Lytechinus pictus: one gene and its partner. The protein of the gene in region 2 interacts with the protein of the main gene of each other region in a pairwise test. Links are inferred from orthologs where the notes say so. Each region holds a gene or a part of one and is shown on either strand. Other genes may lie near its edges.

Evidence for each region. The genes of interacting proteins can lie anywhere in the genome.
Region 1: the proteins of vacuolar protein sorting-associated protein 45-like (region 2) and rabenosyn-5-like interact in a two-hybrid assay, tested with the Drosophila melanogaster proteins (2 studies listed by BioGRID). The link is inferred for Lytechinus pictus from reciprocal best matches to the Drosophila melanogaster genes Vps45 and Rbsn-5.

What each region holds. Positions count from the first base shown.
Region 1 is NC_087247.1:72,182,673-72,193,048, forward strand, and holds the start of rabenosyn-5-like, read right to left. Parts: upstream 5,093-10,376; 5' UTR 5,081-5,092; coding exon 4,972-5,080; intron 4,478-4,971; coding exon 4,286-4,477; intron 1-4,285.
Region 2 is NC_087249.1:3,319,346-3,329,721, reverse strand, and holds the start of vacuolar protein sorting-associated protein 45-like, read right to left. Parts: upstream 6,712-10,376; 5' UTR 6,587-6,711; coding exon 6,494-6,586; intron 2,447-6,493; coding exon 2,312-2,446; intron 890-2,311; coding exon 829-889; intron 135-828; coding exon 55-134; intron 1-54.

The sequences.
Region 1 (10,376 bases), on a different chromosome or scaffold from region 2:
TGATGATGATGATGATGATAATGATGATGATGGTGGTGATAACGACGATGATGATGATGATGATTGATAGTGATGATGATGATAATGATGGTGGTGGTGATGATGATGATAATGATGGTGGTGGTGGTGATGATGATGATGATGATGATGATGGTGAATTGGTGATAACGACGAAGATGATGATGATAATGATCGATAGTGATGATAATGATGATGATAATGATGACAATGATGATGATTGATAATGATGATTGATAGTGGTGATGATGATGATGGTGATAACGATGATGATGATGATAATGATTGATAGTGATGATGATGAAAATGATGGTGGTGGTGGTGGTGATAATGATGATGGTGATAATGATTGATAGTGATGATGATGATAACGATGGTGGTGGTGGTGGTGATGATGATGATGGTGATGATGATTGATAGTGATGATGATGATGATGATGATGGTGATAACGATGATGATTAATAGTGATGATGATGGTGATAATGATGACAATGATGATGATTGATAATGATGATTGATAGTGGTGATGATGATGATAACGATGATGATGATGATAATGATTGATAGTGATGATGATGAAAATGATGGTGGTGGTGGTGGTGATAATGATGATAGTGATGGTGGTGGTGATCATGATGATGATAATGATGATAATGATGGTGATAACGACGATGATGATGATGATGATGATGATAATGATTGATAGTGATGATGATGATAATGATGGTGATGATGATGATAATGATGGTGGTGGTGATGATGATGATGATGATGATAATGATGATGATGATGGTGGTGATAACGACGATGATGATGATGATGATGATGATGATGGTGATAACGATGATGATTAATAGTGATGATGATGGTGATAATGATGACAATGATGATGATTGATAATGATGATTGATAGTGATGGTGGTGGTGGTGGTGATGATGATGATGATGATGATTGTGATAACGACGATGATGATGATGATGATGATAATGATGGTGGTGTTGATGATGATGATGATGATAATGATGATGATGATGGTGGTGATAACGACGATGATGATGATGATGATAATTGATAGTGATGATGATGATAATGATGGAGGTGGTGATGATTATGATGATGGTGATAACAATGATGATGATTGATAGTGATGATGATGAAAATGATGGTGGTGGTGATGATGATGATAGTGATGGTGGTGATGGTGGTGATGATGATGATGATAATGATGATGGTGATAACGACGATGATGATGATGATAATGATTGATAGTGATGATGATGATAATGATGGTGGTGGTGATGATGATGATGATGATAATGATGACGATGATGATGGTGATAACGACGATGATTGATAGTGATGTTGATGATAATGATGGTGGTGGTGATGATTATGATGATGGTGGTGGTGATGATGATGATAACGATGGTGGTGGTGGTGGTGATGATGATGATGGTGATGATGATGATGATGATGATGGTGATAACGACGATGATGATGATGATAATGATTGATAGTGATGATGATGATAATGATGGTGGTGGTGATGATAATGATGGTGGTGGTGATGATGATGATGATGATAATGATGATGATGGTGGTGATAACGACGATGATAATGATGATGATTGATAGTGATGATGATGATAATGATGGTGGTGGTGATGATGATGATAATGATGGTGGTGGTGGTGATGATGATGATAATGATGATGATGATGGTGAATTGGTGATAACGACGAAGATGATGATGATGATGATAATGATCGATAGTGATGATAATGATGATGATAATGATGGTGGTGGTGATGATGATGATAGTGCACTGGTGTTGATGATGATGATGAAGCTTGATAGGGATGATATTGATAATGATCCAATGGTATCTCTGAATGGGATAGGGGAGAGTGATGTTGATGATGTGGATAAAGTCAAAGTAGATGATATTTGGGGTGATGGTCAATGCTGCAGTTCAAGCTATTGTAAGAATTATATCCAGTCAGACCACAGGTCCCTAGGCTAATGAGCAAAAAGGCCAGATTCATCCAAATCATCTCGTGGCTGAATCCTCCTCCTTGCAAAATCTTGTGATTCGTGAGATTTTCTTTCTCTAAGAATTTACCTGTTTTAACCTCAAATTAAATGAAATATTATTACACGATCAGATAGAGTAAACGTTACTCTTTCATATTGGTCATTTACTTTGTATACAATATTTTGTTAAATAAGTAAATTTCTGGCCTGAAAATGTGCCTAAAAACTGAATTTTCTTCCTCTGTTTTCTTTTGCAAATTGTGCAAAACTTTTTATTTTGAGCCTCAATGATATCTATATCACCATAAAGCTGAACATCTGTACTTTCTCACAATGCCACTCTTGATATGCGGCACCTTTTAATCGGGTCAAGATCACACTTTTCCCACCTCTCTTGTGTTCTTCCTCCGCTAAGGTCGGAGATCAACGGCGCCGTTGGAAGGGCCGCAATTCATTTAAGACTCTAAGTTGCAATCATGAAGTACTGAGTAAGTTTTGACGAGTTGTGTGGAGGTTGCGTAAGAAGTACAGAATAAGCGTATGTAATTGGGCTTTGGGTTGCAGCTAATACGCCCAGGAGGTAAAAAAGGACCGACTCTACAAAAAGAGCAGGGGTAGATTCAAAGCATGGTCCAAACTGCTTGGTGTTGGGATTAGCTTTAACCCGCTGGATAAGGTTCTGTCGGACAGGTGCTAGGGCTGGACAGGTAGCAACCAGATGTTCCACATCCTCGCAGGCTGACATGCACAGACGACAGCAATCATCAGGTGCTTTGCCAATCTTGGCGAGCCGGACTTGGGTCAGATCCCGGGGGGGCCACTTACATTGACGAGTGGATACCATGCGCGACCAAAAAAACACGTAAAAAGGATGTCTTTTTCAAGATGGGGCACGTTACGTACGTAACGTGATAAGGGTGTCAAAAACATAAAAATATTGAAAAAAGGGTATCTATTTCGGTCGGAAAAATATACGTGTTTAGGGTCAAATATGCGGGGATGATAAAACAAAATCAAAATGTTTTATAAAGGATGTCCTTTTTGCCCCAACACTACGTGTTTAGAGTCCGATTTGCGCGAGGTGTGGAAGGTGGGGCCGTAATAAACCAAAATAATGGTGTGTAAAGGTAAAACCGACGACCGACGGACCCGTGACATAACAATAAAATATCGCTGTACTTGTTTAGGGGTTCATTTCAGGGAATACTTGCCAATAGTATTTGTTTCCAATACTTGTTAAGGGGTGCATTTTCAGAATATGGAAAATACATCGCTGTACTTGTTTAGGGGCTCAATTCTGGGAATACTTGCCAATAGTATTTGTTTCCAATACTTGTTAAGGGTAGGGTTTCAAACGCCAAAACTTGTTAAGGGGTGCATTTTCAGAATATGGAAAATACGTGTTAAGGGTGCTTTTCGAGACCCCGTGGTCGCGCATGGTATCCACTCGTCAATGGAAGTGGCCCCTCCGGGGGTCAGATAGACTTGACAAGAGATCTGGGCACGGATGGTGATGGCTGACCGCAGACTTGGATTGTACCACCAAGGTACAAGACGAGATTTCTGAAATTTTGTACTTGCATGAAATCCATAGTTCTGATTGGCTGGATAAGGTTACAGAACAACAGGCGCGGGGTATTTGAGGAGATTACCACATGGGAAGTGTGACCTTCCCACAAACCCAGGCACTGGAACCGTTGGAATTTGCCATTGTGTGGTCTCTTTGACCAATCAGAGTGCAGTATTCTTGTTTTCAAGCTGCTTTATGTACTTGGCAAATGAAAAGTGTGATCTTGACCCAATTAAACCAGTTCTTATTTTGAAACCTATATCATTTCAAAGCATACATATTCAGCTTTATCATGATATAAAAATCATTTTGTCTCAAACAAAAATAAAGTGTGAAAATAGCAGCTTTTGTCAGGTGAAAATTTTTTTTTGTAGCATATTTTAGATCAAAATTTTAACCTATATTACAAAATCTTTGAATAAATCCAAACACATGACCTGAAAGAATGATTCTTCTTCTTTACAATGGTACCAAATTCATGAAATTTGATGCACAATTAGAGCAGCAATGACCGAATGAAAAGAGGTGTTTTGGTCCGCATCAAGCTCATTAAATATGCAAAACATCTCAAGTCATGAATATCACTTGGATGAAAGAAGCCACTTTCTTGGGACCTGCAGTCTGACTGTATCCAACTGTGTAATAATGAAAAAACAAATACCTAGCTCTGGATTATCCCAAGTAAAAGGGTCTGAGCCAAGCAGTTGTAATTTCTTGGGAGATCCTTCTCCTTGCTCATTTCTGGAGACATCACTGAACTGTTCCTCTGATCTGCTGGTGATGAGATTCTTAGCTTTCCCAAAGAATCCTTTCAACTTACTTAGTACAACCTTATCTTCACTACCATGAGCAGCTACACACAAAAAAAATCAAAATAATTAATCATGATAGTTCAAAATACAAAATAATCTCCAAATAAGTTTATGAATAATTAGACAAGTCAAAAGAAGGGATTTTTTCCCTCAAAAGATTATTTGGTAAATTATAGTAATGGATGGTCTTGGAAAATAGAATATCAATGTATTGATCAAGATATTTTATGATGTATTTTCTTTTGTCTTCATGAATATTCAAAATTATTTGTAAAATACTTCAGATTTACAGGACAATTAACAGTCTATCAGAAACAACTACATTTTTCTTTCAACTGCAACTCTCAATGACAGTTTGAAAAATATGCAAATTAAAATATACACGTAATTTATATTACTACAACTGTATGTAAAACTGGTATGTTCTTTCTTTCTTCTTTGTTTTCCTTCATTTGTAACCTTGAGGTCCAAGATGGCTTTCATGAAGTCTTTGAATTATATTATTCAAAGGTGAAATTATTTTCATCAAACATACTTTCCACATGAGATTGGAGTTGATAAACAGAATCAAAGTTTTGAAGGCACATTGGACACAGGAATCCCTCATAAATTGGGCTATCATCAGTTGCTGCCATGCCTGCCATCTTAACTGTAAAGCAAGAATAAAGAACACAAGTCTTGGTTACTTTAAGCAAGATGCATATATCATTGTGCATTTACTTCAACTTTAAAAGAAAAAGTACTGGATAGATATGTAAAATGCAGTAGACCCTGAACCTGTAGGCTTGAGCTTTCCCTATCCCTGTCAAAAAGAATAACTAAAATCGGGGGCTATGAAGAAAAAGAACAACAATGAGCTGGCGACACCCAAAAATCTATGTTAGTATAGTACTCCTTTACAGACCTTCATAAACAAACAATATACATGCCTTGTACTCCAAGTGCTTGCTGCTTAGACCAAAATGGTTTTTTTTGACATTGCAAGAAAAAATTGCCAATAGTGATGCCATCATCTTGGCTTTTATCAAGGAAAATTATTCAAAATCAATATTTCTTTGAGGAAGTAACCATGCAGGGTCTAGGCTTGGCAAAGATTAGACTGAGAAATCTGCTCTTTCACAGAGGAGATTTTTAAAAACATTTTCTGATTGTTCTCAGTTCTCCTCCTACACAAACAGAAGGCTCCCATAGGACTCGTAATGTTGGTGGTTTGCTCTATTGGCTTCATCTAAGTTATAGGCCTAGATCTATCATCTAGATCTAGGGCCTGGCCCTAGATGTACATTTGTATTTTTTTTCTTCTTTCTTTTTTACACAACAATTTGACTAACAAACAAGGTTAATCCCCAGGGGGGCCAGTCAAATGTATTGCTGTACACATGCATGACCAAAATTATTTCCCTAAACACGGACCTAAACAAGTTTTTCTCTGTGTGCAAAATAACCCCCCTAAACAAGTTTTTTGCGGGCTTTATTTACACACTTTGGCACTTAAACAATTTGTCGCCAGAATATGACCCCGCGGAAAAAGCTTGGGGAAAAAAATACCCTAAACACGCTTGGCTAGCTTTAAAAAAAGCTTTGGAAGAAAATTTTTTCTACCCTACATTGACAATTGACCAGTCTTTCAAAACCACCCTTTCTTGAAAATCAGTGTTTATTATACTTAACGAGTGCACGTGCGGCCCGTGTCCAAACCTGAAAAACACCCCTTTAAACACTTTTTTTTGTCACACATGTGTACAGCAATATAGATCTAGTCTATTTGACTGCCCCCCCCCCCTCCCCCGGGGGTTAATCTAGTAGAATAGGATCTAGGCCTAGATAATACCAAAAGCTTCGGTCTCTGTTTTATTGGTTGTTCTGCTGAACTCCGTTGGCTCCATCCACCAATTACAGAGACCAAAGTTCTAACTCGATCTGTACAGGGACTCAATGGCCATATGTTATTAAGTTCGGATAAAACAAGGAAGTGGGAGTTGCGCGACAGCCAAAGTAAATCTAAGTCACTGTTTTTTACCTTTTAATTTTTTTTCCCATTTTGGTGCATTTTCGGCCAAAATGGAATAATTATCTTTATTTTGGTCCAGTTGTTTATATAGATCTATATTTTTATGAAATAAAGACAAATATCGACGAGCCCCGTCGGGGGGATTTTGCATTGTTAACCCCCTAATGGTGGCTGCACGATCGCGGGCCGTCTGTGTACGGGGAGATTTTTTTTTTTTAATGTTCAAAAACTCCTCGAAACCACAAGCTCACTGCAACCATCCTGCCTGTGGGGAATGTACATGTAGGACTATGGTATGCCAATGCTGTACAGAGCACACACTTAAAAAAATCATTAAAATATCACTTTTGTGACCAAAATTACTAATTTCCTTACAGTTGCAATTTCTTTTTCATTAGTAACTTGGGAATAATTTTTGTATTCACCAGAGCACTCAAAAACATGAATTTTGGGCATATTTTTGTGTACGCCCTCTATTGGTGGAAAGTAATATGGCAAGAAAATTTTCATTTTTCAATCTCTATTCTAAATTAAGAAAAAAACAATTTAAAGAATCAAATTTACTTAAGAGCCAATTTGTATGATGAATAGGTGTAATAAAAACTGTCAGTGTAAAAAAATCAAGCATTTGTCCCAAACAAAAAGAGAAAATAAGCCAAACATTGCCACCCTTATTTTACCACACATGGAGATACAAACAGAGAACAAGGTTATATCATAACCTTGTTCATTGAATGAGTGCTCGAAACAGACGTCAAGGCTATCATGTAGATCTACTAAAAAAAGTACTAACAATGACTATATAAGTCTAAATGCGGCCTGCCCTAAAAATGCTAACATTAGGGCCTAGACTTATATTTTAAAAATCTACTAAATTCTAGGGCATACTCGTGATATAGGCCCCGCTCGAGAAAAAAATTGTAATCGATCATACCTCAATATCTAGGTTGCTAACTTCAGCTCACTATATATACTCGTGATATAGGCCCCGCTGCTGTGTTGAATGGCTTAGAATGTCCGTTCGCGGGGCCTGTTTCACGAGTATAATACTATAACCGTTATATAGGCCCTGCACTACGGCACTTCAGACACTCCAACACAGTAGCGGGGCCTATATCACAAGTATATTATTAAGCTTGCATCCTAAGATAGTCGCGAAACCGGCCCCGTCCAATGCGCTTTTCCCAGCATTCGCACATGTGTGGGGCTATTGATTAATTAATGTATTTTATTCATAATTTGATTTATTTGTTTCAGTTTTTTTTCTTTTGTGATATAGAGAGTCAGAGTTATCATTTATTTCAATCTATTTTAATTGATTAATAAATCATTTAATTTATTTGTTGTCAGTTTTTTTTTTCTTTTGTGATATAGAGAGTAATTAAGAGGTATCATTCATTTTTAATTATTTCTATGTGTGGAAGTTCACTTATTTCAATCTATTTTAATTGATTAATTAATGTATTTATATTGATTAATCATATTCATTCATTAATCATTTAATTTATTTGTTTTCAGTTTTTTGTCTTTTGTGATGTAGAGTCAGAGGTATCATTCGTTTTTAATTATTTTTATGTGTGGAAGTTCATTCATTTATTTATCAATCTATTTTAATTGATTAAGTAATGTATTTATATTCATTCATTAATCATTTAATTTATTTATTATTTTTTTTCTTTTGTGATATAGAGAGTCAGAGGTATCATTCGTTTTTAATTCTTTTTATGTATGGAAGTTCATTTATTTACTTATTTACTTATTATCTATATATTTATTTATTATATTTTTGGGGGTTATTTGAGAGGCGTGCGTAGGCCTAGGTCTTATGTTGATACAGGCTCGTACATTTCATTTATTTTTATTCATTCTGTAAGTTCTTGTGGCTATACAAAATGATGACGGCAATCATTGTAAAGCTCAGAATATCTAATCTTTCACCTGGTATCCTCAGAAGATTCCTCGATCATTCAGGCATGAATGACTTTAACAATTTGAAGAAAGTAACGATATATAATCTAAATTTAAAAATAATCGTTTACCTTTTTTGAATTAGTCGTAGTTGAAGGGTGTTATAACCTTATTTTTGTTACATAAAATGAATTAATATTTTATTTAAAGGTCAAAGAAAAATGTTGATTTGAATAGAGAAAAATCAAACTAGCATAACGCTGGAAATTTCATCAAAATCGGATGTAAAATAAGAAAGTTGTGATATTTTAAAGTTTCGCTTATTTTTCACAAAACAGTGATATGCACAACTCATTTGCATGCAAATGATACAGTTGATGATGTCCCTCGCAATTTCTTTTTTTTTTGTTGAATTACTGTATACAATATTTCATTTTTCACAGATCTTACAATAAGGGCCAACGTGAATGAACCATATATTCCACATGTTCAGGGAGGAATTAATCATTGTTTCACTTGACAATGAGGAGAAAATTGGAAAATATCATATTTAATATTTCATATAATACTACAGAAATAGTGAGTGGGTGGCGTCATCAGTTTCCTCATTTGCATACCGACCTGGATGTGCATATATAACTATTATTTTAAATTAAACTAAACTTCAAAATGTTATAACTTTCTTATTTTACATCAGATTTTTATGAAATTTTCAGCGTTATGATCTTTCGATTTTTCCTCTTTTTATTCATATCAACTTTTTTGGGGTGGACTTGTCCTTTAAATTATTTTTTTTATTGATGTATTTGTTTGTATTAAACTTTTTGTTTTATGTGATGTTAGACCAACCATTATCGTTAATTTCTCTTTTTTGTGTATGGATTTGATCTCTCTCTCTATACCGTATATCATTATATATAACAAACTATATTTTGTTACCTTACCACTGAAGCCAATACGTGAAACGTTTATATATATATATAGAGAGAGAGAGAGAGGGGCCTAATACATTACTATTTCAAGTTCTCCTTCGTATTGCTTCACTTATTCATTTCCTGGTTTATTCATTTATTCGTTCATGTTTGTGCTGTTTTGGGAAAAAATGTTGTCTATTAATTGACACGATAGGCCTACCCTTAAAGGGGACAGTTTACCCTGACGCAAAGTTGATGATAATTAAAGCAGAAACATAGAAAAAATATTCTTAAAGGTTTGCTGAAAATATATTTTTTTAATTGTCACGCATTTTGGTTAAGAAGTTCGATATTCTCTAATCAAATATTTCCATTCTCACACTTTAATTAGTGTTTATTATATTAAATTGTATTCTACTCATTTATGTAATGAATGTCTTGCTAAGATCAATTGTGAATGTCACTTTCACTTGCCCAGTAACCTGCACAATCAAGGTACTTATGGGCTATTTCACGGTTACTCACGTTACATTTGGAGACACCTTGACTCATACTTGGAGCTGTAACTCCATTATTATTGATAGGAACTAAACATCTCTTTATCACAACAAAGTACACAGTCTGACTATCCTTTGTATAAAAACAAAACTTGGGAAATTTTATTATGCTCCTGGAAAATCTTTGAAATGTGTCGGTTACTCACGTTACATGATTTGGACATGCATAAAATGAAAAGTCGACATAAGTGAAAAGTGTCCTCATACAAGGCTTTTATGAAAGTTGATTATATCCATTTCAAAGAAGTATATTAGGGAGACAATCTTTGTATATAATTTAAAAAAATGAAGAACACATGGTTTTTAATAGGGGTTCAGATAAAGTGGTTACTCACGTTATGGTTACTCACGTTACATTTTGTCCATGTATGTTCAACAACATAAATGTCACTAAAAATTCAATAATTATAATAATAAATATAATAATTCATGTTTCTGTTTCTGTAATAATATGAGTAGGATTTCAGACACCAGTTTATGTTTAAAGTTAACATTCTGAATAAGTTTCCTCCTCTCTTTTACTTATTGGTCAGTATATTGGTAATGTATT
Region 2 (10,376 bases):
ATCTTTGGATAAAATTTGACTTTATATGGAGAGTTCACTTTGATGATTACTCACCTGTACTTCCCGAACCACTTCTTGTTCATCTGCTTCTGCAAGCAATTTAACATCACTTTTGCTGACAACATTACTGAAGTCTGGTAAATAAAATATAAACACAAAAACATTCAATTCAACATACAAGTACTCTAGTATTGGAATACATGAGTACATCTCTTCCACTGTGATATTTAGCATCTATCCTTTTGACCCCAAACTATCTAATTGTCTGATCTTTATAAAACCAAATTTCCAGTCATTCTAAACAGCATCAGCTCTCGAACTAAACTACTTAAATAGATCCCGGTTTCTTACCAAGGATGCAATATTTGGATCATATAATAGTACAATATACCTTTATCGAATTAAAATTTTTCTGTTACGTATCATCAAATCTATACCTAATCATTTGGCAAAGAAGATTTAAGGACTTGAATGTACATGAAACAAATCCAAAGTTTCAAACCTTGCCACTTTGCTTGAAAGAGTATGGAAAATTTTGCATGTTCATTTTTTTTTTTTTTTTTGCAGTTAATGGTGCATTCAAGGGTGAATTCAAGGTACCATGAGAGCATTCACAAGAACTATTACAGACAATAAAAAATCACAGAATATTGTCAAACCGTGTACGTCACTTTTCATATTATAACAGTGTGGCATCTGGCATGGTTTAATTTTGCTGTTAATACATGTACCAGCATTTGTTTTCTTTAATTGTTCGCATTTTTGCTTTCATTAAATACATAATACTTGAACTTGTCATTAACACTTCTAAAAAACGACTGTACTTACAGATGAAGTACACAGCATACTTTGGATTTCTCAACTCATTGCACAGCATTTCAATATTCTCCTGGATTGAAATTCAAAGATGTAATAGGAAATAAACATTCAAAATACCATTTGATTTATCGCTGATAAATGGAACTGAGTATTAAAATTAATAACAAATTTTATATTTATGATTAAAAACTATAAAATACATTATAAAATGGGATCTAAATACTAGTAACTCTAATTTATTTTGAAAGGACACAAGACATCCCTTCCAGAATAATACAGCTTTGTTTGATAACGATGTCTCTATCATTATCTGTGCATATTAGATAATAAATTGAGAGAGTTTCAGTATAATTTAATGTATAGAATACAACCATCGCCTAGATACAGATTCAAACTTCAGGTCAATGATTTGTGTTAATATTGCAATATTTTAGACGAAACATATCAACATGTATTTTTTTCAATGTGCTGATAAATTAAACTTACCCTTTTTAAAGGAAATATTTTGGAAACAAATTCTTATTGGAATAAATGGGACTAACATGAAAACAGAATTATGAAACCATATTATAATTTTGATTAAATTTATGATCTTCCATGATAGCGAAAAGGGGGTACCTGCAAATGTAAATAAAATTAAAGATAGATTAATTGAAATTAAATAGAAAAGAAGAGAAAAGGCTTGCACTGGAAAGGGGAACTTTGTCATTTCACCTCAGGAAATGGGAACATTTTGAAGAATCAACCTCACAGCCCTCTACCCCAGCAATACTCCCTAGATGAGGTCCATTTGTTTGTTTTTGTTGTTTTGCCAGTTTGCTTGTTTTTTTTTCTTTCTCGCTCTCCTTTTCCTTCTTCTTATGCTTTGTTTATCGGGGAAGGGGGTGTTTAATGGATGAAGCGTGATGGAGAGTGTGTTTTCTTTTGTGTGTGTGTTTTTTATCATAACTTCCTCAATTACTTGATTTAATTGTATTGTAAAGGGAAAAAAATCAAGTTCAACTTGAGATTTAAGTATGTTTATAAATATTCAGAGATCTCTAGATGTTGTAGAAGATTTTATTTTGTATTACGAATTCCTTTGTGATTATAAATATGTACAGATTGATTCTTAGTTTACTTTTCGAATAATTTTTTTTTTTTATGAATTCTGATGCAATTATGTTAATTATTTTGCGTTATTCATTATATTCCTATTTTATATATACTGAGGAAGAAATAATATAAGATTTTAAAACAAAAATTGGAATAAAACTAATAATACAAGACAAGTTATTCATCCAACATTTAATACTATTTGTCAATAATATACTTTCATTTTTTTCTACAGTAATATAATGTACCCCCTCAAATCTTTCTGCTACATACATGTATGGGGAAAGGTGTATTTTACTAGCCCATATGTACACATAGAAACCATAACTCATTAAAAAAAAGAATTGTTTTATTAGGCAGCATCTTCCACAAATTGGTGTACTTATTTTGTTCTTACCCTCTTTGGTCTAATGAAGCATATGCAGCGTAGATGTTTCATGATCTCCCTGTTCGCAGAGTCTAATCTTTCAAAAAGATAGACTTCTTTCTGTAGGATTTCAGACTGAGCATACACCATGGTTACAAAGCTGATCTACATTTGAAATAAAATGAGAGAAAAAAGTGAAAAGCTAGTCAAGGAATTATTCATGACATCTTACTCCTGATGGAATCTGTTATCCCATGTTATTGTTGTGCACTGATGATCATTGTTTTGATCAATTTGTTTAACAACACTTTTTTTATAATATTTTAGAAAAAAATAGCTAGTATAGGCACTCCTACAAAAAAAAAATCAGCATTTCTACTAAAAAAGCCTTACCTTAAAATATTCTTTATTGTCTTGTTTGCATAGCAGAGCAAGACTATAGTCGGCGACGGCATCAACATTGAAATCTTAACCAAGGTTAAGTTTTTGAAATGACAGCAAAACTTAAAAAGTATAAGGACCTAGTTCATGAAACTTGGACATAAGAGCAACCATGTATCCCTGAATATCATGTGCGAGTTTCAGGTCACATGACCAAGGTCAAAGGTCATTTAGAGTCAACAAACTTTGGTAACGTTGGGGGTATTTGTGGAATTGTCATCATACATGTATGTAACTTTAAAAGTTTATGGATCTAGTTCATGAAACTTGGACATAAGAGCAGTAATGTATCCCTGAATACCCTCTGTGCATTTAAAGGCGACCGCACACCTTACGATTGGTCAGCGACCCGATTTCAGAATAAAATGTAGTAGAATTTGATGCTAACATTGAGACTTGAAATACCTTACTGCAGTGGTGGACTGTGACCCCGAGGAGACAAAGCATTGGAGGGGCACAGCATTATTCACAAACACTACAGTTCCCCTCCAATGGTTTGTCTCCTCCGGGTCACGGTCCGCCACTGCCTTACTGTGTAATGTTCTAAATCATTGTACGAATACCTATGTTCAAATCTGTGACTATGCTAGTATCCTTCTTAGAATAAAAGCGAATTTAATATCTAGTCGTAATGACGTCATAGCAGTCGTACGATTGGCTACGATTTAAAACTATTTTGGCCTTTACTCCGAAATAAAGGCTTGCAATCTTTCAAAATGGTTATATTAGTATTTTTTCAATCAATTTTAACCTCAAATAAAATGGTATGTTCCATTCACATTTTCAGAAAATGAGCAAAATGCGATTTGTTCCAAAATCGGATCGCGAACAGTCGTAAGGTGTGCCGTGGCCTTAAGGAGCATGGCCAAGATCAAAAGTCATATAAAGGTCAATGAACTCCGTGTTGGGAGTACATGTACATGTATGTGTTGAATTGGCACCATAACTTAGAAAGTTTTTTTATGGATCTAGCTTATGAAACATCAACATAAGGGTAATCAAGTATGAATGATCGTTTTGCACATGTTTTAGGTCACATGATCATGGTCAAAGGTCATTTTGGGTCAATGGACAAAATATTTTATTATCATATTAGTGTTTTCTTCTGTAAATAATTATTCATTAGCTGTTTTCAAAGGCAGCACTGCTGATATATCGAATTGCGTAATGCAGGCAAGACTGCCAGAGGTGTTCCACTTGTTAGCATTTGTAGACATTGCTCAAAACTTACCTGGAAATTTCGTAAATAGTAAAAAAATAAGGCTTAAATACTCCATAAAATGTGCTGGAAATGCATGTACATGCACTGTACACTCATTACTGTGGCTAAAAATAGGCACTTCCAATGGCAAGCCTATATGTATGTTTATGCTGCCCTGGGACTGTGTTCTAATCCCAGAGGACCTGTGGAAACACACATTGATAGACAATCATCTCGGCTAACAGAAAATGTGAAGATGCCAATAAATCAAACTTGACCATCCACTAAAAATATACACATGCATATGGGGCCAACTCACGCATTGACTACAGGGGTATATGTGCACATGTGTGACAACACCATCTAGCACCCATGTGAGTACCTACCTTGCTGGAATTTTCAAATTTCTGCTTTCTTTTGAATGAATATGACTAACAGAGCAACAAAACTACAACTTACAAAACAAATTCCAATTAACATTAAATCCAATCATGGCAATAGAACCATTATAGAATCTAGATGGAAAATTCCTATAGACAGATGTAATATTTGTTGAATAGGATTTAGAAAATGCAAGCAAGGTCTTCTTTTTGCTCCAACTTGGAAAATGAAAGATGGATAACGAGAACGAACGAGACATGGAGGTCTAACTTTTCCTTTTATTGAGGGTCCAGTATGTGCCCACTCACACAAGCATGCGAGGTTTTAGACAGGAATAACCGTCGTTTCTGGGGATTTATTCAACAATTTCTGACATTTTACTGTAATCCCCATTTACCGACGGTAGGGTGTACGTGTGGGCTCGCATGTGTTCTCATTCCCTCCCTTTTGTCAATTCACAGTCCAAAGTTTGATGTAATTTTACACATCGAATTTACAATCTAAGGATGTATAAACAACAAACTTTTAAAACTTGATGTTTTAACATTTAAATACTTTAAACGATATAGATGAAAAAGGCATGAAAAATATACTTTACCGATGTTTAATTGGGTTGAACACGATAAAAATGGTCAAAATGGCAGCCAAACTATAAAATATTTACAAACGAACGTCAACAATCACGAATGTGATATCGATATTGCTTTCGATATTATACGATCTGCTCCATATGCGAACGAAACCGAAGATAAACGATACTAGTTATACTAGTACTAGTACTAGTTATAATCGCGATATATCGATTCGAGACATTAAGTTAATACGATAATGACGTCATTTAAGATGGCAACTTGCAAGAAAAACCGTCAGGTCAGGTGAAAATGTCTTAGATGACAGATTTCTCAATCATCCAGAGGATTTTTTTCAATAACTCCGGCCCAAGGTATGCAATTGCTTAATTTATTTATATTTCCCTGATAATGGAAACCATGAAACTTTCAATTTTGCTTAAAAAACAGTTTTAAATCGCGATCTATAAAACGCTAGTTCACTATACGTTGGCTGTAGGTACGGGGCCCCATCCCCTTCAGTCTATGTATGGTGAGTGGAGCCAACGTAGTTCAGCGGAACAAACAAAATACAGAGACTGAAGCTTTTGGTCTAGCGAGGTTTGTGCCTCGATGTGTCACAATAGACCTTCATCCATAAAATCGAGGTAATTGATTTTTTCCCCTTTTATTTGGAGTGCAATTGCGACCCCATTCTACCCCATTTTGGAGAGTACCCATGTCTGCCTAGTAATACACAGACGAGTCCTGGGCTCCTTGGGTTAATACTTTATGTGCAGTTTTGCATTGGGCTTTCTGGAGTAGTGGGGGAAGGGTATTTTTAAATCAAATCTGACACTTGATCCTAAAAGAAAGGTGAAAAATGAGTATTTCCATTGAATTTGCCATTATCAATACCACGAAACCCGCTAGTTTACAAAAATATGGTACATTTATTCACAAAAATACAAGACTTTGATTGAACTTCCTTTTTTAATGCCACATTAAAATGATGGTAGTAACCAAGTGTAAAATAGATTTGGAGCATTTTATTCTCTTTAATTTGATACCAAAATAATTAAATTTGGATAACGGGATCATATGTCAGAATTGCATTGATTTGAACTTTGATTTTTCCCTCAAAACCATGACCATTAATTTTGGCTGTGTGAATTTTTTTGTGCAGTCACCCTATTAAAAAAATATTATCATGAACCTTTTCCAGGTTTTTATTTTCAATTTTATTTAGTGGGGGTGCATATGGAGCTCTGACATTATCCTGGTTTAAGTCACCACTCCATTCACTGCCATTTATTTCGTCAGCAGCGGGGACTTCTTTCCTCTCCCATTGACTTTGTACACAACGAGTGTCGAGTGCACACACTCCGACTCTCCGAGTCCGACACACACGAGAAGAGAGGTGATTTATTTCAGGATAAGGCCGGAACTCTTGCCAAAAATCAACAAAAGTGAGTGGTTACAAATGGTTGTCTTGCTTATGGGTGTACAACAATTTTTTTTCTAATTTATAATGTTTAACAAATCGAAAAATACATTTCAACATCTTACTAACTCACCCAACACAATAGTGCGCGTGTGGGACAACGCATTCAATATCAGCATAAATTTGAAGAATCTTACCGTTTCTTTGTCCATAAGGAGTACCTTCATGCCAGGACCACTTTCCTCTATCATTTTCGCAACATACTGCTTCACAGCCAATACGACATTCATCGTCAAACATCTGTATTTTACTCTATGAAGGGGGAAAAAGATACGAGATCAACGTAAAAAAAACAACAAAGTCAACATACGTTGAACTTGGGCCTTTGCTGTATAATTTGCTAGTGTCGTATGTCGCCCTCTACGTTGAGAACTTTATAATGACTTTCCAAATAAATGTAAAATGCATTTTAAATTTCCTGAATGGGATAGGCTTACTCAACATGCAAAAGAACATGATTCGAGATATACACAATATAGTGTATTATTTGGGGTATTATTGCAGAGAATAGAGTCAAATCAATCCGAACAGGGGCGCATCAGGGGTAGGTGGCCGGGGGGGGGGGGGAATTGGCAGTGGAAGCATAACAATTTAGGGGGGACGGAAAAAATATTTTCACCTACATTTTCCCAGTCGGCTGCTAAAAGCTGATTTTGTTTATATTTTTTGTTAACGGGGTAGTCCACACTATAGTCTGAAGTTTTAACTACATCTTAGTTTCTTATAAACAAGATGAGATATCTAACACGGCAGGCGCAATACAGGATTTTGCACCCCGTGGGCCCTACCTGATTTTGGCGCCCGGGTTGGCGCCCTTGTGTACTTTTCGAAAAATGGGGCCCCCTTGAACATGAATATTGAACAAGATGGGTATCTAATTCTAAACAAACATTTTATGCGAGTTGAAAAAATTGTTATTCTGACCTAAAATTTGACACTCTAAGCACTTTGGTTCATCAAGCAGGAAGGGTATTTAACTAGACATTTTATGCGAACGCGTAGAGCGAGCTGAAATTTTTTGTTATTCCAATTAACACAAGACTGCACAATCTAATGACCATGAGTAGGATGGGTAGACCTATTTAAACAACTGATGCGAGCGCGAAGCGCGAGCAGAAAATTTTTGATATTCTGACCTAGAATCTAGACGTTGTAAGCACTTTTGGTATTCATGAACATCTTACTAAACTTATGCGAGCGCGTAGCGCGAGCTGAAAAATTCCAAGCCAAAACTGGACATTCTAAGCACTTTTGTGACCATCAACAAGATGGCTATCTGTTTAAACATTTCATGCGAGCGCAAAGCACGAGATGAAAATTTTTGATATGCCGAACCAAACCTTAAGATTCTAAAGCATCTAAACAATTGATGTGAGTGCGAAGCGAAAGCTGAAATTTTGGGTATTTGGACATTCTAAGCGCTTTTGATAATAATGAACAGAATGGCTATCTAACTAAACATTTTATGCGAGCGCGAAGCGCGAGCTGAAATTTTTTGATATTTTGACCTAACATTTTGACATTCTAAGCACTTTGGGTAATCATGAACAGAACTACTACCTAACTAAACATTTTATGCGAGAGCGAAGCGCGAGCTTAAAATTTTAGATAGTCCGACCAAAACCTTAAGATTCCATGACGAAAAACCTCCATTTGATAACACTATACCCCTATTTCCCTCCGCATCAATTCTCTTCTCCAAGCTACAACAAACCCTTACTGCCCCAAGCAGTATCAAAACACCTGTGTCTTGACCTCGGTCCGAAGATAACAACAGCCCGGCATATACAGTCACAGTAGGGGGCCACACAAAATGGATATATGGCAGTGCATAGAGCATAATAGCTCTATGCATAGAGCTCTATGGGCAATGTGTGAGCGCGGTAGCATCCCTGCAAACCATGTCGTCATTTTATCCCCCTACTTTCCTAATTTCGAGGTCGATTTTCTTCGTTCGAAATTGAAAATGGGCTAACATTGGATTTCTGAATACAATATGCCTTTGAAAACGTGATTAAATATCGAATACAATAATTTCATTCCGAAGGTCCTACTACAGGCAGAGAAGTCTTACGTAATAGCACAGCTGTTGTTTATCATTTCGTCCTTGGCTCAACGCTCATAATCTGGCCTGTGGAGGAGAAATTGAGACAGCGGGATTACCTGGCCAATCAGGGTTGATCGGCGCTTGGACATGATTTTTTCAAATTCCAAACAGAAAAAGGGGTATAGAACCGCAGTTTGCAATCTGAACTGCGGTCTTTCTCCAAACGGGGGTTTGACGTAATGTAAAGCACTTTTTGTGAACAGAAATAGAATTGGTATCTATCTAAACTATTGATGCGAGCGCGAAGAGCGACCAAAAAAAATGATATTCTGGCCTAAAAGCTCGGATTCTAAGCCACTTTTTGAAACAATGAACAGGATGGTCATTTAAGCCCCTTTCACAATTGACGTACGACCACTTGCGACCTTTTGGTCGTGCGACAGGCTGCAACAGGCATCAATCGCCAGTCATCTCATAATATCGCACAGAGGCTTTCACAGTTGCAACAGCTGTCGTACAACAAAAACAACCAGTAAAACCCGTTGCACGAGTAAGTCGCTTATGATCCTATTGTGCTCGTGCGATCACATGCGAGTGTAATTGCACGAGGGATTGCGAGGGGAACGGTCGTACACAACGGTAGTGCAATGTTGTAAGCCGTTGCGATCGGTCTTGCAACAGTCTTATGGCCCATCATATTATCGCACCCAGTCGCAAGACAGGTCTCTGTACATGTAGGTCGCTAGCACATGTGCAAGTGTTGTACGACCTCCAGTCGAGTAAATGCGACTACTTAGTTGTGCCACCTGTCGCACCAAGTCGTGCAACGTTGAACAACACTCCCACGATGATCGCCCGACCGATGGTACGACCCCGGATACGAGCTGATGCGAGTGAATCGGTCGTATTTGATCGCGTTCGGATTTTGAACATGTTCAAAGTTCAGATGTGACCAGTCACGACCACCTTGAGTTCGTGCGACCGTCTACAACGACTGCGAGTGCTCGCAAGTCACAAAGAGATCGATCGTGCAACAGCAGGAAAAAACTGTTGCAGGCGGTCGTAAACTGGTCGGATGTCAATTGTGAAAGGGGCTGTACGGTCGCATACATGCGAATGCAACGGTAGTGGAATGTTGTAAGCCGTAATTTCGATCGGTCTTGCAACAGTCTTATATTATCGCAACCAGTCGCAAGACTGGTCTCTGTAGGTATCTAGCGCATGTGCAAGTGTTGTACGACCTCCAGTCGACTAAATGCGACTATACGTAGTTGTGTCACCTCTCGCACCAAGTCGTACAACGTTGAACAACACTCACACGATGATCGCCCGACCGATGGTACGACCTGATGCGAGTAAATCAATCGTATTTGATCGCGTTTGGATTTTGAACATGTTCAAATTCAAATGCGACCAGTCACGACCACCTCCGACCACCTCAAATTCGTGCGTTCGTCTACAACCACTGCGAGTGCTCGCAAGACACCAAGAGATCGATCGTGCAACAACAAGAAAAAACTGTTGCAGGCGGTCGTAAACAGGTCGTACGTCAATTGTGAAAGGGGCTTAAACTAAACAAGCGATGCGATCGAGGAGCGAGATGAAAATAAGTGATATACTGACTTGAAACGGTAACTTTTGAATTACTGCATTATTGCATTGTGAAGGGTAATGAATAAATCCCGTTCGCCCTTGGAAGCAGGGGTGTATAGAGTCACATCAAAGATGTTTTTTAATTGAGTTCTAATTATAAAGGAGAGATTTTACCTAAATCTCCTTCATTTTGGTGCGAAAAAAACTTTTTTTGGGGTTATCAAGTTTTTCTAAACAAAATCGCATGGGAGTAAGTTTAAAATTTGTGTATTTTCCATAGTAAAACTGCAACTTTTTACTGTTCGATATAGGTTTTGATATTTCTTGTTTTAGCTGTTCAGTTTATTTGTTATCTTTTTTATTCCTTCCTTTCTTCTTCC